Linked DNA regions of Pelodiscus sinensis. The protein of the gene in region 4 interacts with the protein of the main gene of each other region in a biochemical or structural test. Links are inferred from orthologs where the notes say so. Each region holds a gene or a part of one and is shown on either strand. Other genes may lie near its edges. The genes, in order: HCK, LYN, YES1 and KHDRBS1.

What was found.
Region 1: the proteins of KHDRBS1 (region 4) and HCK interact in a biophysical measurement, tested with the Homo sapiens proteins (2 studies listed by BioGRID and IntAct, with this or other methods). The link is inferred for Pelodiscus sinensis from reciprocal best matches to the Homo sapiens genes KHDRBS1 and HCK.
Region 2: the proteins of KHDRBS1 (region 4) and LYN form a complex in vitro, tested with the Homo sapiens proteins (3 studies listed by BioGRID and IntAct, with this or other methods). The link is inferred for Pelodiscus sinensis from reciprocal best matches to the Homo sapiens genes KHDRBS1 and LYN.
Region 3: of the proteins of KHDRBS1 (region 4) and YES1, one has a biochemical effect on the other in vitro, tested with the Homo sapiens proteins (2 studies listed by BioGRID, with this or other methods). The link is inferred for Pelodiscus sinensis from reciprocal best matches to the Homo sapiens genes KHDRBS1 and YES1.

What each region holds. Positions count from the first base shown.
Region 1 is NC_134728.1:1,500,033-1,508,029, reverse strand, and holds the start of HCK (tyrosine-protein kinase HCK), read left to right. Parts: upstream 1-4,987; 5' UTR 4,988-5,324; intron 5,325-7,997. UniProt on the Homo sapiens protein: Non-receptor tyrosine-protein kinase found in hematopoietic cells that transmits signals from cell surface receptors and plays an important role in the regulation of innate immune responses, including neutrophil, monocyte, macrophage and mast cell functions, phagocytosis, cell survival and proliferation, cell adhesion and migration.
Region 2 is NC_134712.1:64,564,158-64,571,808, forward strand, and holds the start of LYN (tyrosine-protein kinase Lyn), read right to left. Parts: upstream 3,013-7,651; 5' UTR 2,779-3,012; intron 1-2,778. UniProt on the Homo sapiens protein: Non-receptor tyrosine-protein kinase that transmits signals from cell surface receptors and plays an important role in the regulation of innate and adaptive immune responses, hematopoiesis, responses to growth factors and cytokines, integrin signaling, but also responses to DNA damage and genotoxic agents.
Region 3 is NC_134712.1:79,910,679-79,918,581, forward strand, and holds the start of YES1 (tyrosine-protein kinase Yes), read right to left. Parts: upstream 3,011-7,903; 5' UTR 2,876-3,010; intron 1-2,875. UniProt on the Homo sapiens protein: Non-receptor protein tyrosine kinase that is involved in the regulation of cell growth and survival, apoptosis, cell-cell adhesion, cytoskeleton remodeling, and differentiation.
Region 4 is NC_134735.1:3,883,465-3,891,095, reverse strand, and holds the start of KHDRBS1 (KH domain-containing, RNA-binding, signal transduction-associated protein 1), read left to right. Parts: upstream 1-4,619; 5' UTR 4,620-4,964; coding exon 4,965-5,271; exon of another isoform or gene 5,272-5,290; intron 5,291-7,631. UniProt on the Homo sapiens protein: Recruited and tyrosine phosphorylated by several receptor systems, for example the T-cell, leptin and insulin receptors. Once phosphorylated, functions as an adapter protein in signal transduction cascades by binding to SH2 and SH3 domain-containing proteins.

The DNA.
Region 1 (7,997 bases), on a different chromosome or scaffold from region 4:
AAGGTGGCTGCGTGCTGGGGGGAGCCTCCGTCAAAGGGGGTGTCTGACGTGGGGCCTTTGAGAGGGTGGAACGGTTCCCCCAGGTGAGTAAGTGACTTTCCAGTGCTGGAGGCCACCTGCCAGGAATGGTGCAACCCTGGTGACTGATGGTGACACACGTGCCCCATTGCACAAGAGCACACGGGGCTGGCAGGGACGGACTGTACAAGTCTGAATGAGCTATTGGGCGGCCGGGAGGGGCGTGTGAGAGTCAGGCGTGCCCGGCTGGCGGCGGGGGGGTGGCGCATCATTTCCTCTCTGGGCAGCTGATGGACTCCAGCCGAGGTCTCCCAGGCGGCGGCGAAGCGCAGCGCTCACTCTGTCGGTGCCACCAATGTGGAGTAATTTGCATTTCACAAAAGGAAGTTCGCACCCTGCGAGTCAACTTCCTGCTCCGCGACCAGCCGGCGCTGTTACCCCCATGCAGAGTCTCGCCCCCGCCCCTGCTCCCCCGGCTTCGGCGGCAAAACCTCCTGCGGGAGCAGGGCTGGGCGCCTCCCACGCTCCTGGCCAGCGGAATTGGATGTATCTGGCGAGGCGGTGGGGTCCAGGGGTAGCTCCTGGGCCCAGCCGCCCAGCTCCGGTCAGCATTTCCTGCACAGGGTGCGCCAGGCCTGCGCCATGCAGGGCTGGACACTCCCTCCTCCCCCGTGGTTAAAACGCCCAGGGCCTCTATGCCAGCGGGTCAGCAGGGCTGCTCTGGCTCTAGTAGGCGGCCGGGACGCTCTGCCCAAGCTCTATACAGCCCCGAGCACCCCTCCGGCTGGCCCACCCGTGGGGGGGGGAGGGGGGCGCTGCTCATCCCTGTCTCTTGCCTCAGCCTCCGGCACAGGCAGGGGGAAACCAGGAGCAATTGCAATAACAAAACTGCCCTTTCGGCTTCCCCTTCTCCCCCCCCCCCCGGGAATCCACCCAGCCCAGCTGTGACCCCCACGTCGCGCTCCGGCCTGTGCACACGTTGCATGCTCGTGCCACTGCTGCCAGGAGGGGGCTGGCGCTAGCTCTTGCCCCGGTGCCTTGAGGCCCTGCCCGGGACTGGGCCCCGCTGGGCAGGGGCTGCACAAAAAGCGAGCCCAGCTGTGAGGTGCTTCCCGTCAGCGGCTCTGGCCAGTTCCCGGCATTTGTCGGAGCACCAAGCCGGCCGGCGTCTGGGCTTCCCCGGGCCAGGGCATGGTGGGAGAGGCCTCCCCGCCTCAGCCCCTGTTTGCACCATTTCCTCCCGCCGCCCGCGGGCTTCATGCGGAGCAGTTCCCTTTTCTCAGCGTGCTGCACGTACAAAGCCCTGCCGCGGAGGAACAGGAAAACGGTTCCCGAGCAGCCCCGGTACCTGCCGCTCAGAGCACAGGGAAGTCCTCGGTGCTGACTGCGCCCGGGGCTTGAGCCTGCCTGCTCGCTTGAGACCAGCTCTGTTACCAACCCAGGCAGGAAGAGGTGGCTGGGTTAGTCTGAGGAGGCCCCCATCTGTGGTTCACTGGCCTGCTCTGCCACCCGTGCAAACTAGGGATGTTAACGACTAGTCAACAGGAGAGTCGACTAGTTGCATCCCCACACATTGCTTCCTCTATCCGATAGAGGCAGTAAGGGGGGAGAAGAAGGGGTACTGCAAAGCAGCAGCACCACACGGAGCCCGGGACCCGGGGCTCCGCCACTTTGAAACGCCGCCGTGGCATTTCAAAGGGGCAGGCCCGCCCTATCGACTAATCGAATCATTGAGGCAAAAATGCATCGACTATTTGATGACTCAATGAGACGCTACGTTACACCCTTCATGCAAACCCAGTAAGGCTGAAAATGTGACATCATCATGACTGCTTATGGGTTTGTCCCACACGAGACAGAGTTGAATGACAAGGCATGGGGTGGCGGGGGAGGTGGAGAAATCTAATGGAAAGCTAAAGCCAGCTCCCAGTTATCTGCCAGGAACCCCGTGAAGCAGTCTGGCTTAGCGGGAAGAGGTGCGCTGTGCCCACGAAAGCTCTTGATAGTCTCTGGTTTTGGTTAGTCTCTGAGGGCACGTCGACACTAGGAAATCATTTCGAACTAATAACTCCCGCAATAACTATTTCGAACTAGCGTGTCCACGCTGCCAGGAAGTCTTGAAATGAGTCTGAGGAAGCTCCCTTAAGGTCAGTGTGCTGCGAGGCAATCTGAGGTGCGCCTCGGAAAATAACAGAGTTCAAAATGGCCACCCTTAAAGGGCCAAGTGACCTTTCTTTTCTTTTCTTTTCTTTTCTTTTCTTTTCTTTTCTTTTCTTTTCTTTTCTTTTCTCAATAACTTCCCCTCAACCTTTTTTTTTAAATTCCCCTCAACAAAAAGTGGACACCCTCCCTCCCCTTAGCACCTCAGGGAGCACTGGGGAGTCGTTACTTGGAACGACTCTGGGGAGTCGTTATTTTGAAAGAGCAGCAGCGGTGCGTCTACATGGCCGCTCTTTTGAAATTCGCGTTCTTCCCCGTGGAAAGCAGGAGTTGTTAGTTCGAAATAGGCCCCTTATTTTGACATAGCAGGCTTGGCAGTGTGGACGCGCCGCTTATTATTTCAAAACAAGGGGAGCTGCTTTGCAATGGCTCCCTAGGGTGAAGCGGGGCGAAGGTGCTACAGGACTACTCGCTGGTTTTGTAAGCTACAGACGAGACTTCTAGCTTAGAAGGGTTTCTCTGTCCTCCCCTGCACAGCTAGACGAGCAGGTGTGTGGGGTACTGGTGGGTGCTAACGGCCGGCGATGTGTGTCACCCAGCCAGCCACAGGAACGTACACGGAAACGCCGGCTGGCCGTAGTTATTTATTTAAAACAACAAAGAAAGATGCAAATGAAGATGCAAATTTGGTGTCATTCTCAGGACTCCCGGGCAGCTTCCTGTAAGGCCGTCAGTGTCAAGATTTGGAGCAAGCCTGTCCCGTCTGTGTGTCCCTCCCAGACATCTGTCCTTGAGCTCATGCTTTCTCTGCTGGAGAATTGGCAAACTGTGTTACATTAGAGCTGCATCCCTCCCCTAGCCGGTGAGACACAGACCTCAACGGCTCAGGACCAGCGTTCCCTGTCAGCTGATCACTTGGGCGGCCCCCCTGGGGGAGATCCCAATGCCTCCCACCTGGTTAGCATAGCGCCCCCAGCTGGCAGCGTGTATTTCTATGGGTGGTGCCCCTCTGCACATGCCTCAGTGCACAGAACAAAATGTATTCCGCACATGGATGGAAACAATGAGAGTCAACATTGCTCAGGGGCCAAAGGAGTAATCAGGCGTCTCCACAGGAGAAACAAGCGTGTGAATTCAGCGGGCTAGTTACGGTTGATAGGGATGTATTATTCTCACAGCACAAGGGCTGGCCAAGTATTTTACCAACTGCAGTTGATTAATGACAGAGCCCAAGCACCCAGATTGGGTGATAATTAGACTCGTTAACAATTAAATCAAACAGCAGTTTAAGCCCTGGGTTTTCAAATGATGGGTCGTGCCCAAGGACAGGGAGAGGGATGTCGGGCGCTGGGGCTCGTGCTGCAAGGGGATCAGGTGAGCAGTGGGGGGCTGAGGCAGCTCCCTGCCTATCCTGGCCCTGCAGTCTGTGCTGCACCCCGGGGGGGGGGGACGCAGAGGGATCCCTGCACTGCCCCTACCCCCAGCACTAGTCCTGCACTCCCATTGGCTGGGAACCTTGGGGCTGCAGGACCAGGAAAGGCAGGAAGCTGCCTTAGTGCCCCCTCCCCCCCCCCCGCTGACCGGAGCCGCTCAAAGTAAGCCCCTCCCCCATCCCTGACCCCTCCCCAAAGCCGGAGTCCCCTCCTGGACTCCAAAGCTCCATCCTCAGCCCCACCCCGGAGCCCACACACCAGTCCCACAGCGTTGGGAAACATGGAACAACGTGCCCGTTTTTTAAAGAACGTCGGGTCGCCAGGATCAGCCCGGGACCGTCCCGGGAAAACGGGCGGGATGGGCGCTGTCGCCGGCGCGCTTGCCAGCAGCGAAGAAAACCGAACCCACTTGAGGCCCAAGCAGTCGGAGCGGGGCGCGACTCCCTCTGGCCTGCAGTTTCCTGCTCCGCTGAACTCAGCTTCCCCTTCCAGCTGTGGTCGCGCCTGCCGGTTCCTTCTAGGCTTCTGCCCCGCACTGGCCTGAAATGCTGCCTGTCAGGAATTCCTTTCGCCATCAAATTATGCTTCCCGGTGAACCCCCCCTCCCCGCCCCCCATGGGGTCCCTAGCAGCAAGCGCCTCCTGCTCCTGTCTCTTCTCCGTGGTTCCCACACGCAGGCCGAAGGGGCGAGCGAGGGAAACTTGCCCGGGTGGCTCAGAACGTGCTGACCGCGGTGCTATGCATGGGAAAGAGGTGGCCAAGGCCGGGCAAACACGAAGGTGCAGGAGTTCACTGGTGGCTCCATCCAGGCGGGCGGTGCCGGAGCGGCTCCAGTCTGGCTCCGGGAACTGGTCAAGAGCCATTTGCAAACAGGAGCCGTGCTGCAGGCGGAGCCAGCGGGGGTGAGCTGAAAGTGTGGCAGGAGAGCGCCCCATGGCGGCGAGGCCGGCCGAAGGTCCGGACAGTCTCCTGGGGGTTACGAGGGCTGATGTGGATGGCGTTCCCCGGCCCGGCGCTTTACACCTGTCAGGACGGCAGCCCTGTGTCTGAACGTCTCTACCCACCTCCTCCCTGAGCAGTCACTGTGGGACCAGGGGATGCTGGGGAAGGAAGGCTGCAGCCCCAGTGGGCCTCGTAAATATCAGCCAGAGAAGAAAACAGCCAGGACCCTCCACCCCCGGCAGCATCTGGGCTACACGGCCTAATGCAGGCGTCATGGCCTGCAGCGCAGGGAGGGGAAGTAGAGGGGCATTTCCTCTTTTCTCCTCCCCAGAGGCTGTGTGCTAGTTCGTGTTTTAGACGAGTGACCTTCCCCTGCCCCCCCCCCCTCCGCCCCGGTGACGAGACAGGTGCCCGCTGGGCAGGCCGGTGCAGTTAAGCAAACGCAAACTGTCTCAGGGCTGCGGCTGTGGCATCGCCGTCTATTTCAGGACGGGCTCCGCACGCCTGTTCCTTCCCCCCGACGCTGCGCTCGGGGCCGCCGGGGCATCGCCAAGGGGCCCGTGACCGCATGGAAAGGAACATTTTATGCCCTTTGTGACTATCGTGCCCTGCGATCTCCGTCTGCCGGGGACCACACCCGCCTGCTGGGAGGCTGCTAAAATCTCAGAACATGGCCTAGCCGCTTGCCCTGGTCTCTGAAGGGCGCCTGGCCAGAAAACACTGGATCCTGCCTCGCTCCTGCCGGCCGAGGATCGCAGAGCACTTTCTAAGGTGAGTGACGGCAGCATCCCCATCTTGCTGGAGCCAAGGTTCAGGGGTGAAATGGGGCGGAAGCCACATACAGCGTCACTAGCAGCACAGAGGCCGGTGTCTTGTTCCCAGGCTGTCAGGTCAGGGAGTTGATCCACCCACCCCGCCCCCCCATCAGAGGACACGGCCGCAATTAAATTCATGCCGTCTTTGATCTGAGGACAGGCCCAGACTGGCCTATACGACTCGATCTAACGTGAGGTCCTTTCATAAGCCTGGGGTGCTTTAGACCAAGTTTACTGCCAATCAAAATGTAACCCCGGGAGCTTGTTATTCATGTTACAGTGCAGCAATTAGTGTAGGTGTGTGCCACTTGCCTCCATTGTCCAGCATCACTACAGCTCAGCTGTGTGTCATATCACCTGTAGTACCAACGGAGAGTCTTCTTGGGGCGCAGGCAGCGAAGAGTGGTGATGTTGGAGCAGAAGCAGCTGAGTTTGGCCCCCGTTGTAATGACTGAGGTGTGCAGGGTGGGGACAGGCGTGACATCCTAGCTGGCCGCAGTGGGAAGCGAAGTGCAGTGAGATATGGAGACTCGGCACATGGGCGTGGACCCAGCTTTTGGGTTGGGGGAAAAAAACAATCGCTCCTTACACTTAGCACCTGGTGTCATTCTCCCTTTGGGGGTCTTAATCCTCACCATCTCCTCTGCCCATTTGTCATGTACTCACCAGCCTCTCAGGAACCAGCGTCAGCTCCCGGACCCACTGGGGAGGGTGAGGCTGGCAATGTACAGATTACAGGATCCAAAGCGGCATCTTGCAGCATGGCTACTGTGCAATACATCCCTGACTCCCATTGGTGTGGCTAATTGCCAGCTGGAAATACATGGGGGAGTCTAGAAATGGCATCGGGACACCAGCCACACATGTCTGTGTAATGAAGCCCAGCAGAGCCTGTGAAATATACAGACAGTGATCGTGAAAGGGGGATGTGTGATGGTCTTCCATGGCTCAGGATGTTGGAAGGCAGCAACTGTAGTGTCTGTATGAGATCACACACACGAATTAAGGTTGCAAAGTCAAACATGCAGACTTTAGGAAATACCTGCGTTAAGGATGCCTGTGCAACCTTAATTTACCCCCTTGTGTGTGTGCATGACAATACAGCCTTTAATTATGTGATGACATATTTGTTTCCACAGGCCCCTGACCTCATTCTGTGCCTCGGCCAGACAGGGCTCACTCAATGGGCAACAATTCAACATTTTATTTTATTGTTCTTGTTTGATGTATGCCCCCAACCCTTATATACCACTCTTGCAGGGGGATGCAAAAGGCGGTTGACTGTAAGCGCCACGTGCCAGAGGGTAGGGAGCAAACTTCTTGCAGGATGGGGGCAGGGCAGGAGGAGACTTCACCCGCTCCCCTGGCCCCCAAGCCCTGATTGGCCGGGGGGGTGGGGAGCAGGTCTCCTCCACACAAGGGTGTGTCTAGATGACAGGGTGTTGTCTACAAAGTGGACTTTTGTTGACAAAACTATACCTGCGTCTACACTACCACCGAGTTCTGTCGACAGTAAGTCGACAGAACGCAGCCGTTTTGCCGACGGCAGTAAACCTCATTCTACGAGGAATAACGCCTTTTGTCGACAGAGCGCTGTCGCCAATGGGGGCTATTGCAGCCACACTCTGCTTTTTCAAAAGAGAGCATCTAGACACTGTTGAAAAAGCGGCTTGCTTTGTCGACAGAACTGTCTGTCGTCTAGACGCTCTTTGTCCACAAAGCCTCTGTCGACACAAGCCTGTAGTCTAGATGTACCCTTAGAGTCAGCTGCCAGCTGTTCTGAACAGCTGGTGGTTCTCGCCGGGGCAAAGACTTCACGTGGTTCCCCACCCACAAACCAATCCCGGTCTACGGGTGAGGAAGCATGGAAGTGCCCTGGCCCCGCCCCTTCCACCTGAGGCCCCGCCCCTTCCACCTGAGGCCCCGCCCCTTCCAGGGCGACTTGAACTCCAGGTAAAAAATGATTACCCACCCCTGCCCCTCGTCAAGCCCCACTCTGAAAGGGGAATTACTCATTTCCTCATAGCCCTTCTCAGTGGGGCTTCATGCTTCTCATTGCATCTCCCTCAGATGGGGAACAGAGGCACCGAGAGATTGTGAAAATCTCATTTAGGGTGCCCAAATTCAGAGGCCTCGCACCGGATTTTGCAGCGTATGGAGCACGGCCGAGAGCTTTATCTGCAGCGGGGTCGGCTGCGAGTGCTCACCGCTTCCACAAATCAGGCAGGGGGGTCTCATGGGGGGCACCCGAAAAACGAGGAGCAGACAGTCAGTGACCACCCGGGAACCGCTCTGGCTTGAAAAAGTGCCACAGTCCCGGGGTCTCTCCAGTCCCCTCTCTGTTCCCGCAAGGCCGCCCGTATGAAGTCTCCCAGCCATCACTTGTCTTGGGCAGAGACTTGCCTCTCTCCCTCCTAGCTGATGATTTTTGCTCCCTGCCTTCCCCGTGCTATCCTCAGCAAGCCGGGCTGCCCACACCGGCCAGCGTCTGCACTTGGCTTTCTCTCTGAGGGCGAGGAATGAAGTCCCAGCTGTCCCTGCACTGCCTACCTCCACCACGGATGAGGAGCAAACTCAGCTGCTTCTGCTCCAACACCACAGATCCCTGCTACCTTAGCCACAGAAGACT
Region 2 (7,651 bases), on a different chromosome or scaffold from region 4:
AGGTTAAGAGGTCTCCCTTATAAAAAGGGCATATTGCAGTTTAACTTGCAAGAGGGTCACCGAACAAGGTGTGCCATTTCTAGAGACAGAATCAGGAAGCAAAGATTTAAAAATTTGTCGAAAATCCATCCACTAGTTTGGACCAGGTGAAACGCATCTGAAAACTGTAATGCTAATAGAGTAAAAAATGCCTAGTATTAGCAGATAGTTAATCATTGCAGTCAAAAGTATTGTCTACAAAAACAGCCACTGAATGATTTTACTGATCAAAATATTAAAAAAGACCTTTCTGCCATTGTTTGTGTCTTTGTAACAAGGAGTCTTGCTTACCCAGAGGGGTACATGGAAAAGCGGAACCCCTTTACATCCAGCAATTTACAGTAATTGGCAAAATATTGTAATGATGTAATAAGCAAGATATATCTCAACATTTACTGATGAAAAACATCCTCAAATCAAGAAACATTTCAACTTTTATGTAATTTTTATCCAGTGCCAGCTTTATAATATTAATTTTGAAATAGGTTTCTCATTTTCTTGACCTATTGGCTGAATAATCCATGAATTTTAATTGTCTCCTGTGTTTCCATACACTCCTAATAGGCAGTATTCTCAGTTCATTTCATCCTTTCTACTTTTAGTGAGAAAACTGTTTTCCAATCCACAGGTGAAATGTTGTCACTACTTATTATGAAGATGTGAAGTCCCCACTTAATAACATAAACCATCACATCTGCTCTGCATCCAATACTAGAACAGGAAAGATTCACATGAAAGCAATTCAGTTAATTCTGTGTTAAAACTGGGCTCCCCAATATAATTTAATTATTTTGTTAAGACAGTTCCAAATTGCAGGTTTTTATATTATCACTTGGTAAATGTTACTACACTGTTCCAAAGTTTATCTGCTGTCAGATATTACAATACAACCATTTACAGCCAACTCACCCAGGAATCATACTGTATGAGGGTAAAGAGTTTCCCCCTCAATTTGTAATATTTCAAGATGATTGGGTGAGTAGGATGGGAATGGGAGATTTGCAGTGAGTGTGAGAGAAGAGTGTTTAGGGGTTTTTTTTGGCTGAAAAACATCTAAAGTGCTCTTCCATTGTGAAAAACGAAAGTAAAAACGGCAATTTCTAATTCAACTTGTTTGTTCTCTGTGTCTTCTCAGTCATAGCTCTTTATTTCAGTGACTAAAACTAGTTTTGACCTCTGAAATGAGCTTCATTCCTGAATGAGAAAGAACAGGGGGTGTCAACTACGTTCTAACTGCAGAGTTAAAATTTAGTTGATGATGTTGACAGAGAAAGAACCAGCTTGGCTTTCAGATTCTAGGCTGAATTTGTAGATCTGGCAGCTTACAAAGTATCTTTTTATTTAGAAATGAACACCACAACAACTTTTTTTTCCAGCACAGAAGCACACTTCAATATCTAGCTGAGAGGGAGCAGTTTTAAATTGAAGATGCTCCAGAATTACTTTACTATATGCTTGTAGGTTTAAAATCCAAAGTTTAATACAGAATACCCTAAGGTCATATTTTTTCCTCTTAATTAAACCAAGCCTATTGTCTGAACTTGTGAAAGTGACTAAGAAAAATGCATTGTGTAATACTACCTTCTTTCTAGCATACCAACTCTTTTGTTGTTTGTTTTTAATTAGGAATAGTCAAGACTGGCTGAAGACAATATATCCCTGAAGAGCATAGTAAAACATCAAAATGCAATCCCTTTTTAAGTCTTCTTAAATAAATTGCTGTATTTTCTTAAAAGCTGAAACTAACCATCCATACAGGAAAGCTTAAGCTGCAGCTACACCCCTTCCCCCAGGCTAGAGGAAAAGCTAACCAGTCCGAAAAGAACTCTCACTTCCTTTTAACTAATGTGCTGTATGTATTTTATCTGAGGTTCAAACAACCATTCCCTTAAGGGGCAGAAACACAAGCTGCCCATTAATGTCACACTTCCTCTTTTGAACTGGCTGTACCCTTTAGACATGGCTCATTTAATATTTCTAGTTCACTTCAGTGAATGGGAAAGATCAGGTTTCATGACCTGCCACATCAATCGCCCTTTAGCTAATTCAGGGATACTACTATAATATCCTCAATCAGCCCCCCTTTTCTCCTCCCTGAAGACTTTGCTTCTCCTTATTTTAGGGGAGATAGGAGGCTAGAGGAAGATTATACCAATACGTAGGTAGAGTTTTCCCTATTCTGATTGGTATGCCAATAGGGCAGGTCAGAGGTGCTGGAACAATCTGTATAGCGGAGCTGGCAGATTGGAACCAAACCGTAAACCCCGTACATAATGGAAACCACTTCAAACCACTGGGAGCGGAAGCACCTCTAGTTCCAGCATCTATGGGGCAAGTCCTGGCCCCCAAGTCCCAGTGTTGCTAACAGTGTGTTAGGAGAGCCAATAAACAAAGCACAAACCCAAGCTCCTGTGATAAGTTGTTTGATCCAACAGACAAACAAGTGTCTATTATGAAAGTTCCCTCTGATCTGCAGTGCAAGGTAAATCCAGGGGGAGGGGAGACAGTTTCCATAGCAACTAGGACTGCTGCAAAATAGATGCCTTACCCCTGATCCCCAGAGAGAAACTCTCAGTGGTTCCCTCTGACAAACGCTAGGAAGCCCCCTTAGTCCGCTCCCTGCCAGCAGGGCTGTTCCCTGCATTTCCCGCTGCTCGGAAAGGATCGCAGAAATTACACTTGGCCACCGGCGCCCAAACAAGCTACCCACTGCCAAATTAGGAGACAAAAGACGCTTACTTACTTCCCTGAATGCGAAACTTTGGAAGCAGCAAGTCAACTCCACAGTTACTTCAGCCACAGAGCTGGGGCAGGAGCCAGGCTGCCGTTCAAACTCAAACCAGCTGATGAGCCTCGGGAAGAGGAAAAGCTACTCGCTTGGTTTTTTGAAGACCACGGGATTTTACAGCTGGGAGAGAGAGTCCAGAGCAGCTAAGCCGATCCTCTGCCACCCCAGAGAGCAGAAGAGGAACTTCGCTTGGTTTCAGTGGGTTGGCTGAGAGTTTTCAGTTTACTTCCTGGTACTGTATTAGGGAATTTGCATAAATATCAGTAAAGGGGATGGGGGAGAGAAGGGAGGATTTTTAAGAAAAATGTTAAGTATTGTTCAGCTTTTGATCAAGAAATCAAAACACTGGGTGAGAGTTTAAGAGGGGAGACTGAAGCAAAGACCCAAACAAGACTCGCAGAGGTATTTCCACCAGCAGCAGGGAATAAATGAGAAGGGATTTCAGGAGGGGGAAGATTACTAGGGGCTGGTTTCATTTTAACAAGGCAGCCCTCCCTCCAGCTAACGGGAGGGGGCGTGGCGTGCCCTGCTCTAGAGAGCCCCACAACCACCTGTTTCCGCTCATTCTTTGCTACCTAGGAGAGGAGACTGCATGGGGTCGGGGAAGAGTAAGGGATTCTGGCATTTTCTTCCGTTCCCTCTCTCCCCTGGCGGATAATGAACTATTTTAGCTCCACTAGAGCACCCAGGACTCTAGGGAAGTTTAGAAGGAATGCAAGCTAAATATGTTGCTAACATGTCATGACTGCCCTTCATGAGACAGGGAAACTAGAGTGGTATGACTGTGCAGAGCAGCACTGTTAGCACTCCTGAATATTACTATTGCAGTAATAGCTCTAGACTAGAGGCTAACCAGGCTAGGACCCCATTGTGCTAGGTGCTGCACAAACATATAGCAAATGGCAGTCCCTACTCCAATATCTTATGAATCTGAAAGGCTAAATGGAGGAGGTGGCTATGGCAGGTAATAGGATGGAAACATTTTTGCTTTGATCATGATTCAACTTATGTCCAGGACATAAGGGTCAGAGTCCAAATTAGTTTCCTTTCCCATAATAGGCTATTTATTAATAAGAAATAAAAAATATATTGAAAGATCAGAGAGGGAGGTTGACGCTTCCTCTGAGGCTGCTGTCTGGATTTATTAGTCATGTGGTCTATGCTGTGGTCAGTTCTAGTAAGTGTCTTTGTTCCTGTCGTATGGCAGATAAGTCTTTTGCTGGTATGGTGGCGTGTACATGCTGAGGGTGCGAGAGTTTTTATTGCTATGCAGGATCTTGTCTGTATTAGCAGCAAACAGCTTTTGTTTATCAAAAGGGAGATCCTCCACCTTTCTTTGAAGCTCCCTGAGCACACCTCCTACATGCAACCAGGAGGCTCTCCTCACCACTGCTGGTGAGCTACTATCTATTGCTGATAGTAGTGCTGTGCAGGCGATGGTGTGCCTCTCACAAATTATTGTCCTGAGGATGGATCTTTTGGAGGTGCTCCATGAGCTCAGCAAGCTTGGAGTAATCATCCAAGTCATGGCTGGCTAGCAATGCAGAGTAGTTTGCAATTCTGAGCTGCAGGGTGGCAGAGAAATATATATTTTTTGCCAGATAGAGCTAGTTATTTATATTCTTTGTCACTGGTTGCTGACCTAAGTTGAGGAGCTTGTGAATGTTGATTCACTGCATCCACCACCAAAGATGTGTCTGATTCCTCCATTATTGCTTCATCAATTGTTAATGCAATCCTTCCCTGAGAGGAGGGATAGGTGTTCTTTAGGAGACGGTGCTGTTTCTCCTTTACCTCCTGGAGCTGAACTTCCTGAGTAGTGGTCCCTCTTAAAAAGTTCCTGAGATTGTTTCAGGTCGTCAGTAGAATGGGTATCTTCAGGTATTACTGCCTCATCAGGAGATAAGGATGAACTGTTCCTCGAGGAAAGCTACGGGGCTCGTGTAACAATGTGCTCATTGAGAATTGATCCTCCTTGTTGTCTTCGGATTCAGCGGTATTCAGAAGGGTATGGGATAGGGAGGCTGGTGGAAGCCTCTTTGGTGACACAGATGGGCCTGTAGAGTGGCATCTGCAAGGTCTCCAATAGTCCCATGGGGCCCACTGGGGTGGATAATGGGGCAGACAATTGGGAGGTGAAAAATGTCAGTCAGGGTACCACTGTGGGTGGTAAGGTCCCTCTCGGTAATGGTGAAAATGACAAGATGTAGTAGGAGAGGAGTGTTGTGAGGAGAAGGTGTTCCTCTGATTATGTGTCAGCTACTCCAGCATTTTTGTGTAACAACGGAGACATAATGTAGCCTGGAACTCGATAGGGAGAGCATAGCAAAGGCTGAGCATTCTCAACATCAGCTGTGTGAATGCCCTCAAGTTGGCCAGTGTGATTATGCAGCACCGGCACAGCTGCCGAGTCTGGCGGGGGAGGCATTTGCACTGATATTAGCACATCAGAAGGCAGTGCTGAAGACTTGTGGGGCTGTGACAGATGGTTCCCCACTCTTTCTCAGTGCTGGGTGTTGTGGTGCCACTTGCGGCAGTGCCGGGGTTCGCCATCATGATCTCTCTGGTGCCAACGATGAACGATCCAGCTTGGAGTGAGCATGGGGTGCCATTCTAGCAACTCTTGTTAGAATTCTTGGCACCAAGTTGTCTGTGGTGCCTGGCGAGTCTCCACTGGCTTGATGGGGGGGAGTGGTCAGGGACAACGACCTCACCAGGGAGACCCTCGCCTTGAGATATTTGTGAGGTGTGGGAGACACAGATCTGTGTTTCCACAGATCCCCTGGAGTCAAAGAGGGCTGAGACCCTTCTGAGGCCTGCAGAGCCCACTTGAAAAGAATCATATGGCGCCAAAGCTCCTGGTCTTTTGTAGCCCTTGTCGTAAGGCTCTGGCAGTGATCACATTTTTTGAGGGTATGCGACTCCCCCAAACAGCGTATACAGGCATCATGCCTGTCCAAAGCCGGTATGGGGTCATTACACTGATGGCACTTCTACGATGCCCGGTTCTCAGGGCTTTAAGCAGTGCTTTTCTTTCTTTTTTCCCCTCTGTCTGTGATTGAGGGTGGTTAGCGAGGAACTGAAAGGGGGAGCAGGATTGCATATGAATGGTGGCAAACCGCCAACAGCACGAGCTGCCTTCAGTGAATGTGCGGTCCAGCTAATAGCTGTTAAGAAAAACTCTGAACTGCGGTTCCGGGGATGACCTGTCACCAACAGAGGAGCACCCACAGGGACATCACCCGAAGAAGAACATTCCATAATAAGTCAACAAATCTGACGGGGCTTTTGCATATTTCAGTTTGTGGATTGGGCTTCGATAAAAGGTACATTAAAACACATGGGTTTGGAAAGTGGGAACTAGGGGTTTGAAATTTGAGTCTAACATTGCCAAGTGAGAACTTTTGCCCTATAGAAATTCCACTATTTACATGGTTATTGGTTGAATGATTTCTCCTAGTTTTATTTTTAATTGAAGAACTGTCAGATATCATATATACCCGTTGATAAGCTGAATTTTTTTGGTAAAAAAGTGGCTCAAAGAGTAGGTGTCGGCTTATCAACAGGTCTACGTTGTCATTGTAGATCAAAGGTTGGAAAACTTCAGTACCCAGCCCATCAGGGGAAGCCACTGGTATGCCGTGACATTTTGTGTACCTGAAGTGTCCACAGGGATGGAGTCCCTCAGCTCCCAGTGCCTGTGATTCACTATTCTTGGCCATTGGGAACTGCTGGAAACAGCACAGGCCAAGGTACCTGCTGGCTGCCACTTCTCGCTGCTCCTATTGGCCAGGAACAGTGAATCAGACACCGAGAGCTATAGGGCTCCATGCCTGCAGATGCTCCAGGTAAACAAAATGTCCCAATGAGCCAGTAGCTTACCCTGACAAATCGGCAACCGAAGTTTGCCAACCTCTGAAATATAGAATTGGCTTATGAAAAGGTCATACCCCATTGGTTTGTTCTTTTTAACTATTCATCTTAGGGTGGGTCGACTTATAAACTAACAAACTAATGAATGAGTATATACAGTTGTTTAGGTCCAAATTGTTATCCTATTTTATAATCTATTTCATAGTCTGGTAGTCTTCTGGATTTCATTTTTTAAAAAATTCCTGTCTTTCCCCAAGTTTATTTTTGTTTTTAACAGGAAAAAAAAAAGACCAATGCAAAAGCAATATATCTTGACTTTTTTCTTCGTTTTCTTGCAGAGCCAGCATTGTAGTGTGGATGTCTTAGACCTGGTCTACCCTGGCATGTTTTGTCACCAAAACGTATCTTTTGTTGACAAAACATTGAAAGCATTTACAATCCAATGGCACTTTTGTCGAGGAAAACACCCACACTCTGTTACTTGAGAGACATAGTAACTTGAACAATTTAGGAGATTGAGGTTCTGAATGGTGTTACATGCCTTTGCCCCAGAAGTGAGACCCGTCTGGCACTCCATATCTCTATCACTGGTAATTGAATGAATAACCAGAGACCAGATATGTTTAAATCAAAGGTAAGTATACTGTAAATTTAGAAACACAGCCCCAAACGCTTGATATTGAACACATCCATCCACACCCCAAATAAATACAAGAATAAAGAATAATCCCAGTACAATAAAGAAATACTTTGCAGTTGATGGTGAGGTAAGTGATGCCTAGGATCTACAACCCTAGAGCTAACTAGTAGCTTTTGGGGAGGAACTCTAGGTAATCCCACGCTGATTAAGTCAACAAGTTAATAGTTGCCAAGAAAACAGTTCTCAGTTCCAGCCTTGAGCTTTCGCAACAAGCAGCTGAGCCCGTCCTGAAGGCTTCTCCTCTACTCTTT
Region 3 (7,903 bases), on a different chromosome or scaffold from region 4:
TACTCTACAATAACGGTTTCCCTATACTCTACAACACTGCGATTGCAGTATTGTTCCCTTAAAGACTATAAACTGTATTTAAGAAACTTCTTGTTTTTTAAGTTTATCCTGTACAGACTAACTTGGGTACCCCCTAAAGCTTCTGTATTTAAGAAAGCAGTCACTCTATATCTGACTTAGTCCTCATCCTCAAAGGAAACTTGCAAAATTTTTAAAAGATGGGGCTAAGAACTGAAGATTCATAGCTTTGCTAGCCACTAAAAACCATGACTTCACAGCCTTCATGGCTTTTTTAATGTGTACATAATTTACAAACAATCCTGCTGCACCCACAGCAGCTTAGTTAATTTCCCAGACCTGAAGAAAAGCTGTGTAAACTTGAAAGCTTGTCCCTCTCACCAACATAAGTGGTCCAATAAAAGATATAACCTCATCCACCTCTAAGAAATTTTTCAGTTTAAATCTAAAAATAGATTTAGTTCTTTTCTTTAATAGAACCAAAATACAGTTTAGTCATAGGTATAGATTGTGGACCAAAAAAATCAAAACACACCACCTTGAAAATATAAAATACCAGCAGATTTATCGGGCTTTGCTCAGTAGTGCCAAAACAAAGAAACACTTCAAATGTCTCTGTTTTATCTCTTTTCTGTAAGGTTTATTTTATGGCTCATCTTGATTCAGTCTCTTTCAACATTCTCTCAGCTGTGTTAATTGTGAGGACTGAACTTGCTTTGGCGTTTGTCTCTTTTTTTGTTTGGTTTTATGAAAAGCAATCCCATTCCAACATCCCATTTGCCTTGCACAACCAAACTTTTACGTTGCTTTAAGTTTTGGTAAGAGGAAGCTGTACATTGAATTTGTTAGTTCTAACTCTTACTGTTTTGAGGAATTCTTGATCAAATAGACAAACTCTAAAATATATAGTAGACAAATTATTCTCCCACTGATACTGATCTATGTTAAGGACAACTTCAAACTTTCAGAATTTGAGTCCAATATAATGAAAAATTTATGAAAATCAAACTGTTGTTTTTTTTTTTTGAAACTTGACGCTGTCCTTCTTTGATGTGTATATTCCATTTATGTCACAAACACTTCCTCAGATTGGGACTACATATTAAGTTCCTGATTTTACAAAACATTTGTATATATTTAGTTTTATGCACATGAACTCAGTGGGACTATTTGTAAATAAAGTTATGTATTCGCTTAAGAGAAACCCAACTTCTACTCTTCAGGAAGAGTCAATTTTGCAGTTTATTAAGTTAGCAGAAACATTTAGCTGTGTTAAAACTGTATTAGAGAACTTTGATAGTAATAACAACATTACCTGAAAGCAATTTCATAAAAAATGTCTGTCTCAGACTCTTATAATTTTATGAGAAAAAAATAATGATTTACAGTGAAGTTTCACATTGGTTTTACAGTCAATGGTGAATTCTGTGAGAGAAATCACACCAAATTCCATTTAGGGTAGGAAACTGCCAGCATGTGAAAAAAGCAAACAACTTCATTCCCTACCAATACTCTCTGTTACAAACTGACAGGTTAGCTCAAGGATCTCTCAAAAATAGCTAATTTTAACTCAAATAATCATAAACTCAGTTTTAAATTAGGACAAAAATCCTTTGGTATGTTTGTGAAAAACTGTCTTGAGAATAAAGTTTTATAGTGTTACCTCACACAATGTAAAATGCAGCACTCCCTATCTGTGTGTGTACAAGTCGTCTGGAATTGCATATGTAAGAGCACTATCTAACTCAAGGCATAAGATACCCACACCTGTGGCCCTTATCTTGTGGGAACTCATGTGAGTAACTTTATGCAGTGCAAAATCAATATGACTACTGAGAATGTATAATGTTAAGGACAAGCCTATGCATTCTCACTATATATAATTTTTTAAAGAATATACGTATAAAGAAAACTTGGGGAAGTGTTATGACTGAAAAATTAAAGTAAGAAATGTAAAGTAACCATGCCTCAGCTAGACACACAAACGTAATAAGTCTAGCAATGAAGAGACTACACCATACCACATAATATAGTAGGGCCAAGTTAGCTGATCTGGAAATCAATTTTCCATTTCCTGACTTTGCCTGTTTACAGCCCCAAGGCACAGTGCTTCTTTTAACATAGGTTTTAACTGAACTGATAAAAGCAGGAATTCAACCCTGTATACCGCTCATTAACCAAGGTGGTTAAAATTAAAGTCCGGGAGCAAACGCTCTTCCCCAATACCAATGTAAAACATAGGCTGGAATAACCCCAACAAAAAAGAAGAAAACCTTGACTATCCTCCACCAAGGCGCCTGCTGGGAGGAAACCGAAACGAGTGGTAAGTGAAAGTGGAGCCTTGAATAAACTCGTTTGCTCTTCTGCCCACTTCCCCCCTCGCCAAACAATGAAACACGTTGTGGTTTTCAATCACACCAAGCCAGCGAAGGCAGAAACCCCTCTCCCCACAGCAGTTGTTAGCAGGCTTCAGGCGGCCAGACTGACAGCGCCTGCAAGGGACGGGACGTGAAGGCAAAGGGGAGCCACCAGCGGGACCCTCCTGCCCCCCGCGCCTCAGACATGGGCCCCCGGGGTACAGCCGCGCCGTAGCCCGCACGGGAAAACACGGGCTCTGCTCCCCGCCGGGCAGGGAAAAGTTACCGGGAAACTTTCAGTCAATCCAAGTGGGCAGGGGGAGAAGGGAAGGGGGCGGGACGTCGCCCAGCCTAACGCCCGGGACACGGGGGAGCCAGCGGGGGAAGGGGTCTCGCCAGGGCGGAGGAGGCGGCCGCGTGTAGGGGCTGGAGGGGGCCGGGGCCTAGCGCTCGCCGGGTGCCGCCGCCTCTCCAGGGTGAAGGCGCGTCCGGTTCCTCACCTGCTTCTCCGCAGCGGCTCCGGCGGGGACGGACTCGAGCCCCCTGCTCCTCCCGGGGCCGCCGGGCGGGCAGCGAAGGGGGGAGGAGGGAGCCGGACGCTCGCTGCGTGCGGAGACTCGCTGTGAGGAGAAGGAAACTCCCCCACCCGCCGCCTCCGCCTCCTCCGCCGGGCTCCCCGCCTCCCCTGCCCGGCCGGACTCTGCCTCCCCCGCCTTCACTGGCGCTGCGGCCGCCCGGGGAACCTCCCCCTCGAGGCCGCCCGCAGCCCGACTTAGAGGCCGCGGGGAGGAGCCGGGGGGCCGGGGCGCTCCCCGCCCCCGCCAGCGGCTCCCCCTCAACGGAGCGCGAGTTCAGCGGCCCGGCCTAACATGGCGGCGCCTTCCCTAGTAGCGGTGGCCGCGCCGTTCTTACAGCCACCGGGGCCTCCCGGCCGCAGGAGGTGCCCCCGAGGACGGGGGAGGGGATTTAGGAGGCCGGGTTGGCGCTTGAGGGCAATCCTGGATTGGGGGGGGGGAAGCAGTGGATGGGGGGAGGGCCCTGGGGTAGGCAACCCTGTTTGGGTATGAGCAGGAGGAGGAGCCGTAGCTCCTCAGGGATTTCTGGGGAGCAGGGGAGCTGCCAGCAGTGGATGGCTGGGCTGAGGAGGCAGGGAGGGGTTTGGGGGAAGGCGGCGGTGGAGCAGGTTGGAGGCCTTTTTAGGGAGTATTCTAGCGGTTCTCAGCCAGGGGTACGGAGCCGTCTTCCAGAGGCTAACAGCTCATCTAGATATTTAGCTAGTTTTACAAGCAAAAGGGGTGGAGGTTTTTAGGTGAAACGTGGGGCTATTCTGACAAGTCAAATCAGACTTCTGAGGGGGTAGTAATAGAAATGTAGCCGTGTTAGTCCTGCATTTTGCCTGAGGGGGATAGTGTAATCTGGAAAGATTGAGGGAACCTCTCAAAAAGTAGAATTTAGATGAACACACACACACTCTCTCTCTCTCTCTCTCTCTCTCTCTCTCTCTCTCTCTCTCTCTCTCTGCCTCTCTCTGCCAAGGCCAAGGCACAAAAGGAGATCAGATTAGCTACAGAGAAAGAGTAATAAGAAAGCATTTTTCAAATACATAAGAAGCATGAGGAAAATCAAGGACAAGATCAGGGGAGCTGGCTCCATGCTCCTGGAAGTGGGAAGGCCTCCAACAGAAGATGCGGCAGGAGCAGCCAGCCGTCAGAGCTGCCCAGGGCATGTGATGTGGCATTCAGCAGCAATATAAAGAGCCAGGGGCTCCAGCTACTGCCACAATATAGGTGTGGCAGTGGCCAGGAACCTCAGACCCCTTTGAATCATTGGGCCCCAAGCAACTACCTCTTTTGTGTCCCTTCCCCTCTACACGCACACACCTTGTCAGCAGGCCTGGACAAAGTAGGTCCCATTACTCAAGAGGGTAAAACAACAGAAAATGTGGAAATGGTAGAGGTGCTTAATGATGACTTTGTTATGGTTTTAACCAAAAAGGTTCTTGGTGGTTGGATGCTTAACATAGTTAATGGCAGTGAAAGTGAGTTCAGAAGCTTTAAATAGGGAAAGAGCAAGTTAAAAATTTACTTAGATACGTTAGATGTCTTCAAGTCATCAGAGTCCGATGAACTACTTCCTAATAGTAAAGGCGCTGACTTGGGTAGATATCTAAGCCATTAGTGATTATCTTTGAGAAGCTGTGGAATACAGGAGAGTCTCCAGAAGACTGGAAAAGGCCAAATATAAAGAGAAAAATAAGACGACTGATCTGTAATTCCCAGGGTTGTCCTTAACTTCTGTACCCAGAAAGATAATGGAGCAAATAATTAAGTAATAAATTTGCAAACAGCTAGAAGCTAACGTGATAAGTAATAGCATGATTTGTCAAGGACAAATATCAAACCAATCTTTATTTGACAAGGTAACAAGGCTAGTGGATAGGAAAGAAGTGGTGGTACATATGGCATATAGACGTTATTAAAATTTTTTATACCGTCTTGTATTTGGTAACCTAAATGGAGTTACTGTAAGATGGGCGCAAAAATGGTTGGCTAAACATTCCAAAGTAGTTATCAATGGTTCACAAAGAGCCTAATGAGTGGTCTTCCGTGGGTATCAGCTCTGATTCTGTTCAATATTTTCATCGGTGATTTAGGTAATAGAGTACACCTATACTGTTTGCGAACAATATCAAGCTGAGAAGGGTTGCAAGTTCTTTGGCGGATAGGTTTATAATTCAAAATGATCTGGACAAACTGGAAATAGTTTGGGGTATATAGGATGAAATTTACTAAGGACAAATGCAAAATACTCCATTTTGGAAAGAACAATCAGTTTCATACATACAAAATGGGTAATTACTTCTTAGGAAAGAGTACTGCAAAAGGGATCTGTGATCATAGTGGATCACATACTAAAAGAGTTAACAGTGTAACACTGTTGCAAAAAAAGAAAATATTCTGGGATGTATTAGTAGAATGTTGTAAGATATGAGAAGCAGAGTGAAATAATTTCTCCATGCTGATTAGGCCTCCACTTGAGTATTGTGTCCAGTTCTGAGTGCTACATTTCAGGAAAGATGTGGACAAATTGGGAAAAGTCCAGAGAAGAGCAACAAAAATGATTGAAAATATGGGGAACAGCTTTGAGGATTTCTTTATGATGGAAGAGATGATGAGTAGAAGTCTGGAGAAGAAGTTTTAAGGAAACCATCACCCATGGGCAGGGCTCGCCGAAATGCGCAGATTGCCCGAACCCGGCTCTTCCGGGTTGCAATCTACTCGCCATGGGCGAGTAGGTTGTGTTATATGTCGAGCCCTGCCCATGGGGAAAGATTGAAAGAATTGGGTTTGTTTAGTCTGGAAAAGAGATGACTGAGAGGGGGGACAAAAAGTTTTCAAATACCTAACAGGTTGTTACAAGGAAGAGGAAGAAAAATTATTCTTAACCTCTGATGATAGGACAAGAAGAAATTAGCTTAAATTACATCAAGAGAAGTTTAAGTTAGACTTCAGGAAAAAATTCCTGTCAGGGTGATGAAGCACTGGAATACATTGAACAGGGAAGTTGTGAAAAGAGCAGGTTAGACAAACACCTGTCAGGTCTAGTGCCATGAATGCAGGGAACTGAACTTAACAAACTTTTGAGATCTCTACTGGTCCTATAAATCTAAGATTCTCCTCTGTAGGTACAAGGAACAGCGCTGAGGACTTCTTTGGGGTGGGAAGAGAAGATCAGTAGACGTTTGGGGTAAAAGTTTTAAGCATTTTGTTAGTGACAGGAATCACTGGTGGGAGAGAGGCCTGGAAGTTTGTGGGGAGAGGTATGAGGAAAAGCAGCAATACATTGAAGGGTGTCATGAGAAGGAAGAGAAGCCTTGGAGTGTTCACAGTAGTATTAGGAGAAGCAGACACTTTTTAGAAGTGTGAGAGAAATGTTTAGAGGGAGCACTGCAGACCAGGTCTTAGCAGAGCTTTATTTTCTCTTCTTTTTGTTCCCCACTCTAACTTGTATTAGGACGGTGACCAATTTCAGTGAGCAAGTTTTTAAATATAGATTTTACATTTTTCAATAACAAAATTCTTTATGAGACTCTTAAAAATTGCTTTATTTTTTCCCCACATTTGCAAATGAGAAGAGGATTTAGAAGGCTCCCTATATTTTATTTTTTTAATCTTTGTAATTTTTTTGATGTTTAAGTGAAACAGAAAACCCAATCTTTTGTCTTTCAGAAGTGCTTCAGTTACAACTCCTGCTGAGGGGAGAGTTTGCTGCTTACTGATCAGAGTCCTTAAATAGAAAAGGTTCAAAGGAACACAATGCAATACAATAAAGGTTTGAAGTAACATCATTTCCTATAATCTCAGTTTCATGATTCATCATTTCACATGTTTCTTATTACTTTAGTCTGCACAAGGGAAGAATTCACAGTCACAAAAGTGGATAAAAAAAAACATAAAAAGTCCTACAAATCAAAGCTATTGAACATTACATATACAAATCAACAATTATCTCCTACCTATTACTGGCCTTAAATCTGTTGATAATTACTTTTATTGTGATTTTTCCAATACTGATAAGAGTATAACTCTTTAAATATTTGGCTCAGCAGGTGGGTATTTAAGTTGGACACTACAGTATAAATAAATTATGGTCACATAAACACCACCCTTTATCAGAAACCAACTGACTACTATTTTTTCTTACATGCCTCTAACTTCCATCCAGGACACATCACATGATCCATTGTCTATAGCCAGGCCCTAAGATACAACCATGTCTGCTCCAATCCCTTAGACAGAGTCAAATATCTACAAGATCTTTATCAAGCATTCTTACGACTTAAATACCCAGCGGGGAAGTGAAGAAATAGATTGACAAAGCCAGACAAGTATCCAGAAGTCACCTACTTCAGGACAGGCCCAACAATGAAAATAACAACACCACTGGTTATCACTTACAGCCCTCAGCTAAACCCCCTACAGTGCACCATTGGCAATCTACAAGCTGTACTGGAAAATGATCCTTTGCTCAAATAGACATTGGGAGACAGGCCAGTCCTTGCCTACAGACAGCTCCCCAACCTAAAGCAAATGCTCACCAGCAGCCACATACCACACTACAGAAACAGTCACCCAGGAACCAATTTCTGCAACAAATCTCGTTGCCAACTCTGTCCACAAATCTGTACAAGCGACATCATCACAGGACCCAATCACGTGAGCCACATCAGTAGGGGTTCATCCACTTGCACATCCACTAATGTGATATATGCCGTGTATATTGGCCAAACCAGACAGTCTCTGCGCCAAAGGATAAATGGACATAAATCAGACATCAGGAAAGGTAGCAGACATAAACCTGTAGGGGAACATTTTAACCTCCCTGGACATTGAGGCTACGTCTAGACTGCAAGCTTCTTTAGAAATAAGCTTTTCTGGAAGAGATATTCTGGAAAAGCTTATTTCAAAATAGCGTGTCTTCACACAAAAAGCACAACGAAATAGTGATGTGCTATTTTGAAAGAGAGC
Region 4 (7,631 bases):
GTCAAATACAAATGGCAACTACTGTGTGTTGTCATCACTGCAGCTCTCAGCACAGTCCTAGCACAACAGCCCCAGCTGTGATGTTATCGCCAAGCCGTGTGTACTCCCAATTAACATTTATACTAGCCCCCAAAGCACCACCCTTCTACAGCATGTGTAGCAGGTATTGGGGTTAAACACAGAGCAAAATTTTTTTTCTACTCTCTGACTGCACAAGAAGCACATAGAATACGGACTTAACAAGAGACTGAGTGTTAAGATGGAGTTGGAATTAGGCAGCCATAACTGGGCAGTTGGAGCAAAAAAAAGAACAAAAATTAAGGGAGAACCACAGGATCCAATAAAGAGAAGAGAGGCAGGGAACACAAGCTAACAGGCAACTTGGTAATGTGTGAGATGTATGGAGTTAGGGAGGTGAAACAGACATGATCATGCCTGGAAAGAAAAACATAGAGTGACAGAGAGAAATGAATCAGCGGCCTTGTTTTGAAAACAGCCCTGTACAGGCAGGCAGGCTCAGGCTTCTGCTGTCTAAAGGTGTGTCTACACTACCAGAAGCACCACTTTGGCCCCGCAGCTGTCCTGCTGCAGCACCATAGTGTAGATGCTTGCTATATTGACAGCAGCGGGGTTTCCATCAAAGAAGGTAATCTGACCCAGCGAGAAGCAGCAGGTAGGTGGACAGAAGAATCTTTGTAGCAGGGGGCTGATTTTGGACTGCAGAACCAGTGTGCAGGAGGACAGAGAGTCTACTCTTGTATCTTCCTATTGAAAGAGCAGGCAAATGACTGGCACCATGGTGGCCCGTTAGCAGGAGCAAGGATGGATTGTTTGGAGCAGAAGGTGCTGGGCCGATGGGATGGCATAGAAGACGTGTGCTCTGGGAAGGACAGGCAGGGAGAGGTGAATAGGATCCTGGGTGAAGCATTTGAGAGCTATGTCAGAGATGTGAAATTGAATTGGACAGATGGAAAGGGAGAGCGCAACTGAATCAGGAAGTGAAAGCAGAGAAGAGGGCAGAGAAGGAAGCCCGGATGGTGGATTCAGCACAAAGAGCCGGGGCAAAGTTGCTGAGAGAAAAAAAAAAAAGGACTGCCCCTTTTGCCCTTTTAAAAGGAGTCCCCAGTCGCGTTTGGTCGAGCTTTCATGGCTGCGCCGTGCCTAGGTTAGCACAGGGAGACAGGAGGAGAGGGCCGTTTTGGGAGGCGCGGGGGCAGCTTTTGAGCCACCGGGGGGGGCTTCACGAGCCACACCTGCGGGGGGGAGGGGAAAGAACCTTGGGTTGGCCACCCCTATTCTAGAGCCTCCTGAGTGAACCCTTGCGTGACAGACCCACACACTATCAGGCATGGCAGGATTTTCTACAGTAGCCATAGCTTTTACAAACTGTTCATAAGAATGGCCAGACTAGGTCAGACCGAAGGTTCATCTAGCCCAGTATCCCAATGGCCAATGCCAGGTGCCCTAGGGGGAATGAACAGAACAGGGGATCATCAAGTGATCCCTCCCCTGTCACCTATTCCCAGCTTCTGAGAAACAGAGGGTGGGGACACCATTTTTACCCATCTTGGCTAATAGCCATTGAAAGACCTAACCTCCATGAATTTATTTAGCTTTTTTTTTTAAAATCCTATTAAAGTCCTGGACTCCACAACATCCTGTATTCCACTTTTCCACTGTGTTCCTGAACTATGAACCCATCAATCCATTCATTATGGGAGAATGGCTGGTCACAGTGGCATGGAGGTTTGTAGCTTCCAGGAACGGGGTCCTGCCAACCGGTAAAGGAATACTGACTTCATTAACAACACTGGCAGAGATCCCTGCAACCAGTGACCCACAATGTTTTCCTGCTGAAAAATCCCTTGGTGCAACTGTACTACTGGCAGACCAGGTGCCAGCTCATGCCAAAGGCCTGAGGCCTCAACTGAACACTGCCAAGTGCATGGCTGGAAACCAGTCTGGTCCACTTGTGTGTTAGTATTGCTACAATAGGTATCAGATTTATAGAAATGTATTTAGGCTTTATGGAATGTTTGAGTTGTTGCATGCGTTAATGTCACTTATAATATCTATATCCCATGTTATAAATTAGTATTTAAATGTTTGCTCTGATACAGTAAACTCCCAGTCAGGAGAGAAGCATTACCAAGTGCGGAATACTAGTTTTTCACAAGAGGTGTCATCTTCTGCTGAACAGAACACCCATAGATACCACAGAAGACACTGTGGAACACAAGAGGGAAAAAAACAAGGGATCTCCAGCTGCTTAGCTTGGGTTCTGTAAATAACTTATAGAACTTGCATATCACAGCAACTTCTATTACATGCCTGTAACTCGTTTGTGTATGTTTAATTGTTTTAACCTTTTAATTAACTTTTTTTCTTAGTTAATAAATCTTTAGTTAATTGTAGGATTGGCTAGCACTGTCTTTGGTGTGGGCTCTAAAAAGCAGCTGGAGTAAGTGAGTGGTCCTTTGAGACTGGAAGTAACCTGAATATTGTTGTGTTTTTTTATGTAAGGGCCCATCTGTCACAAAGGAAAGAATACCAGAGAGGCAGTATAGATTGGAGTACCTCATGGGACTGTCTTTGATTCCATTTTAAGGCTATTGTAGTGGTTGGTGAAATCTGAGTTCAGAATGCCCACCCAAATTGTGTGCCAGGCTTCTTCCCCTGAGGTTTGTGCTCATTCTCCAGATTCACTCTGGACTCAGCAATGTTACTTGATTTCATGGGGATTTGCAAGGAGAAAGTTCTTTCCACATTAGCTCAGCGTTAGGCCTCCTGTCACCATCACCTTATGTGTGGGATTTATAAACCCCCAATAGATTCAGCTGCTTCCCATAGTCTTTTTTCCTCCCTTGCATGGACTCAGCTCATTTCCAACAGCTTATTAGGGTGCTCTGCAAAGTCTGAGTTGCTGGACACTACTGGAACTGGATCAATCTCTGATGTCCTCCCTTCCAAGAATCTTAGATCCACTTCCAAAACTATGTTACTCTACCACTTAGAATTTAGGCGAATGCAAGACACTAAAGTGCCTTCAGGCAAGAGTGCCCAAGGGGTCGTGTTGTGCCTACTATAATTTCCCTAGAAGGCAACAGCCAACTCAACACCTGTTGCTAGTGCTTAGGGAGGATGACATGAGTTTAGGACTAGATCACCAGCCCTCCAGTGGCAATTTTCTTTGGTTGATTTGCTGTAAATATCAGAGTCTGTATGAGTGTGTGGTCTGACTTACACATTCCTATCCCATCCTACACTGTTCCCTGTATCCCCACAGCACCCCCCTACCTGAATCCCTTGTGTCCCCACTATACCCCATGCTCCCCACCAGTATCCCTACAACACCCACCCTGCCCTCACCCCATGTCAGTGGTGGGCAACTTGAGGCCTGCGCGCCACATGCAGCCTATTGGGGCTCCTGCAGACAAGCCTCCCCCCCATGTCTCCTCCCCCATGAACCTCTTACACACTAGGCCACCTGAGCCTTGCACTTCCTATGCCTCCCCTCTCCCTCCCAGCAAATTGCCTGTTTTGCGCTCTGATACGGCTCCCCCTCCCTCCCAGAGCTGGAACATTGCTAATCAACTGTTCACTGTGTTCCAGTTTTGGGAGGAAGGGGGAGGACAGGAAGCAGGAGGACGTGAGACAGTGCCACTGTGAAAGTGCTAGGCGGGAAGGGGAGGAGCAGTTGAATGGTGGGGGGGGCTCTGGTGCCCCAGTGCATGAGAAGCACATGGGGGGGGGGGACCTGCAGGCCCATAGGTGAATCTTAAGTTGCCAGGTGTCCGGTTTTCACCAAGACTGTCCGTTATTCAGGTCCCTCGTCCGGTAAAAAAAAAACACAACAACAACAACAACAACAACCAGACCTGTGAAAAGTCTGGTATTTCCTGTTTCTCTCAAACACAAGCCCAGCAGGCACAATTTTCCTCTGCCATGTCTGGTGTTGGCAGGGGAGTGAGGAGCCATTTAAAGGCAGTGCCCCCCCTCCCTTTTTTTCTCAGAATTATTCCCCTTTTTGGGGGTGAGGGGGGTCGGTATTTGTTGTTGAACCATCTGGCAACCCTCGGTGAATCCCCAGTGGGCCATGGGATGCTGTGACCTACTGAGATGAAGGAGAGCCACTCACGTGGCCCACCCACTATTCGTGGTTGCCCCCACAACACCCCCCCCGCCTGCAATCCCCCTGTCCCTGGGGTGTGGCCCCTCCTCCCGGCTGCGCCCCATGCTCCCCTTGGCTCCTGTCGCGCTTTCTCCCCTCGGCTCCAAACCCGACCACGTGGCGCCCTGCGCACCAGGGCTACATGCGCACCACAGCACGTGCCACATTCCCGGGTGCGGGAGGGAGGGGAGAGACGTGCACATGCGCACTACAGCCACTACGCTACGCCCTCAGTATTCGATCGAAGGGGGAGGGGGAGAGGACAATACGCATGCGCCCCAAGTGTAGCCGACGCTTTGTTCTCGACGCCGGGCGTTGTTTTGCGCACGCGCAGTGTACCTCCGGAGGGCGTCACCGTGCTGCGCAGGCGTATTGCTTCCCCTGGGTACTTTTGTTGGCGGCGGAGCGTGCGAGTTCCGGCGGGCGCAGCTCCCTTCGCCGCCAGTCTCGCGCGCTTTCGCCTTCGCGGGCTGAGCGCTGCGCGTGCGCGCGCGCGCAACGCGGGGGCAGGGCACGCAGGGTGACGGTTGGGCATGCGCGTCGGCTCACTTCGGCGCTTTGTTCTCGACGGCGGCGGCGCATGCCCGGTGCTGGCTGCTTCTGACGGGGGCGCGGGGCGAACGTACACGCCGCTCGGCAGCGGGCGGCGGGAGCGCAGGCGCAGTGGGCGAGGAGCCGTTTCCGGCCCTTCACTTCCTGGCCTGGGAGCCCCGGCGGTCGGTGTGTGGCAATCCTGTTCGCCCTCTCGCTCCCCCCGCTCGTTCGGCCGCCCCCCCGCCCCCTCTTTCCGGGCATGCAGCGCCGCGAGGACCCCGCCGCCCGGCTGGGCAGAGCTCCGGGCCCCGCCGCCCGGCAAGGGGGGCCCGCGCCCCGCCGGCCGCCCCGAGGCGGGGCCCGGGGGGCCGGGGCCCAGCCGCCGCCGCTCCTCCCGCCCGCCGCCACCGCCGCCGCCTCGCAGACCCCCACCGCCGCGCCCACCCCGCTCCTGCCCGGGGCCACCGTCAAGATGGAGCCCGAGAACAAGTACCTGCCGGAGCTCATGGCCGAGAAGGACAGTCTGGACCCGTCCTTCACCCACGCCATGCAGCTGCTGACGGCAGGTAGCGCGGGGTGGGGGAGGGGACGAGGCCGGGAGGGGGAAGGGCGCGGGAGAGGCGGGGGGGGGGGGTCTGTGTGTCTGTCACCCACGTTGTGCTGCTGCTGGCGCCAGGCGCCGCCGCCTACGCAACACCTCCCCCCTTCCCTAGGCCGCGATCCGGGGCGGGGAGGGGCTGAGGCTCCAGTCCTGGCCGACCCCGCTCTTTGTTCGGCGCTCACAGCTGCTCTCCCCGCCCCGGGAGGTGACTGGCTGCTCCCGGGGGGCAGGATCCTCGTGCAGCCAGGAGGCCGCCGACTGGCTGCCATGCGGCCGCTTCCCTCCCTCCGGGCCCGCCGCCGCCGCGAGCTGCAGGCGGTCGCCTTTTTGTCCTGGGCTCGCTCCTGGTGGCTTCTGTAAACTGCCTCCTCGGCAGGGTTGAAGCAGCGCGTGGAAAAGCTCAGTCGCCAAGGCTTGGGGTGGGGCGCGTTTTATCGTTGCGCTCGTTCCTGCTCTAATGCACGTTAGATGGATGGGTAGTTTTAATCCGGGTCGATATGGGTGTATCCTAAATAGCATCCAGCCCCAAAGATTAATTCATGGTTTGAAAGGGATCAAACACGAACCTATAACTTCTTTCTCTGAAAGCGTGATTCTCTTGGCTCTTTACATCCATGGGAAAGAGGAGACTAAAGAGAATGGTACGGCAGTAAACTCGGTTTTTTTATGTAGTCTACTCCTTTGAAATGTGAAATTGTGGGGTTTTTTAATTCACCACTATGAAAATCTGTATTAGAGCTTGTTTCATGCCTCTGATGAAACTAAATGGAAATGGCCATGGTAGTCTTTGTTCTGTGACTAGGCTAGCACTCTCTTCCCCTGATCATCACTGTCCAATCGCCTGGCGGCTCAGATTTTTCCACATCACTACAGCGCAGCTGCACTGTGGTCACACATAGCTGTATCAAGTAGACAGTTTTGTTTAAAAATAGTTGTTAGTGTTTTAACTTGTTCGTTTTTAAACCAACAGTTTACTGTGTAAAAAAAGAAAAGGAAGTGTAAACTGCATATAAAGGATATAATTTTTTAGATTAGAATAATTTAGCCCCTTGTTAGGATTGTTACATTTAAAAATATCTGATACTAGTGAAACTATAATGCATTCTTTATGAACTGCATTATTAGAAAGCAGTTATAATATGGCATTGCCAGTGTTAATATAGTAGACACATTACGTCACTCATCTCAACTCTTCATGTAAAAGTAGGAAAGTGCTGTTTAAAGCTGTCATCTTCGTTGTACTAGAGATTTGATGTGGCTCCATTCTGAATTTGTATCTTGGTGCCACTGATATTCCTCTTGGTTATGATAAATTAGATATGTGCTATTTCCAGGTTAATTAAAGGGTCTTCCTGAAATCATGTTTTTTCTGAAAACAATGTTTAAAGATGACTAGATAACCTGTTGACTAGACCAGGGTTTTCCAACCTATGGGTTGTGACCCGTAGTGTCTTCATTACATTTCAAAAGGGTTGGCAAGTGTCTCCCCAGGTGGCGCTCTTAAGGAGCCATTCACACATTCGAAAAGGTGGTGTCCCTGTCTCCCTCTTCCCTCTCCCGCTCCAGCTCTACAACTGGCTTAGTTTTAAGGAGCCATTCACCTGCAGTGGTACTCAACTTAAACCAATCAATTGAATACCATTTCAGTGACTAAGGCAGGGGTCTCCAACTTTTTTTAAACCCAAGATCACTTTTTGAATGTGAGTGCAATCCAGGATCTACCTCAAACCCAAATACCCTTGTCCTGCCTCCTTCGTGCTCGTTCTCCCTCCCTTTCCCCAGGCAGGGGCAGAGGGTTGGAGCACAGGCTCTGGTCTTGGGCTAAGGGATTTGGAGTGTGAGGGGACTCTGAGTTGAGCCTGGGGTGCAGAAGGGGGTTTGGGTCTGGGGGGGCTCAGGGCTAGAGCAGGGGTTTGGGGTATAGTGGGGTACATGACTGGGGCAGGGGTTCAGAGTTGGCTCCAGCTGGACACTGTTTACCACAGGTGGCTATTGGGTGGTGTTGCAGTGGGGCTAAGGCAGGCTCACCCCTGCCCTGGCCCTTCACCATTCTCCAAAGCAGCCAGAAACTCCTTTCATCCCAGGCCCTGTTGTTCCCCTCTCCCAGTTCTGTGGAGATAGACTACAGAGTGGAAGAAGAGGCACCCTGACATCAGCCCCCCATCTCCCTTCCTTGCTCTGTTTCACAAGTAGGAAGCTCCCTGGGGAAGGGCAGCTGAAGTACTGGCACTTGATAGGTGATCCTGACTGGTTTGGCTATCAGAGGCTCCAAGATCTACTAGTAGATCCAGATCTACTCGTTGGTGACCACTGGAGTAAGGAAGT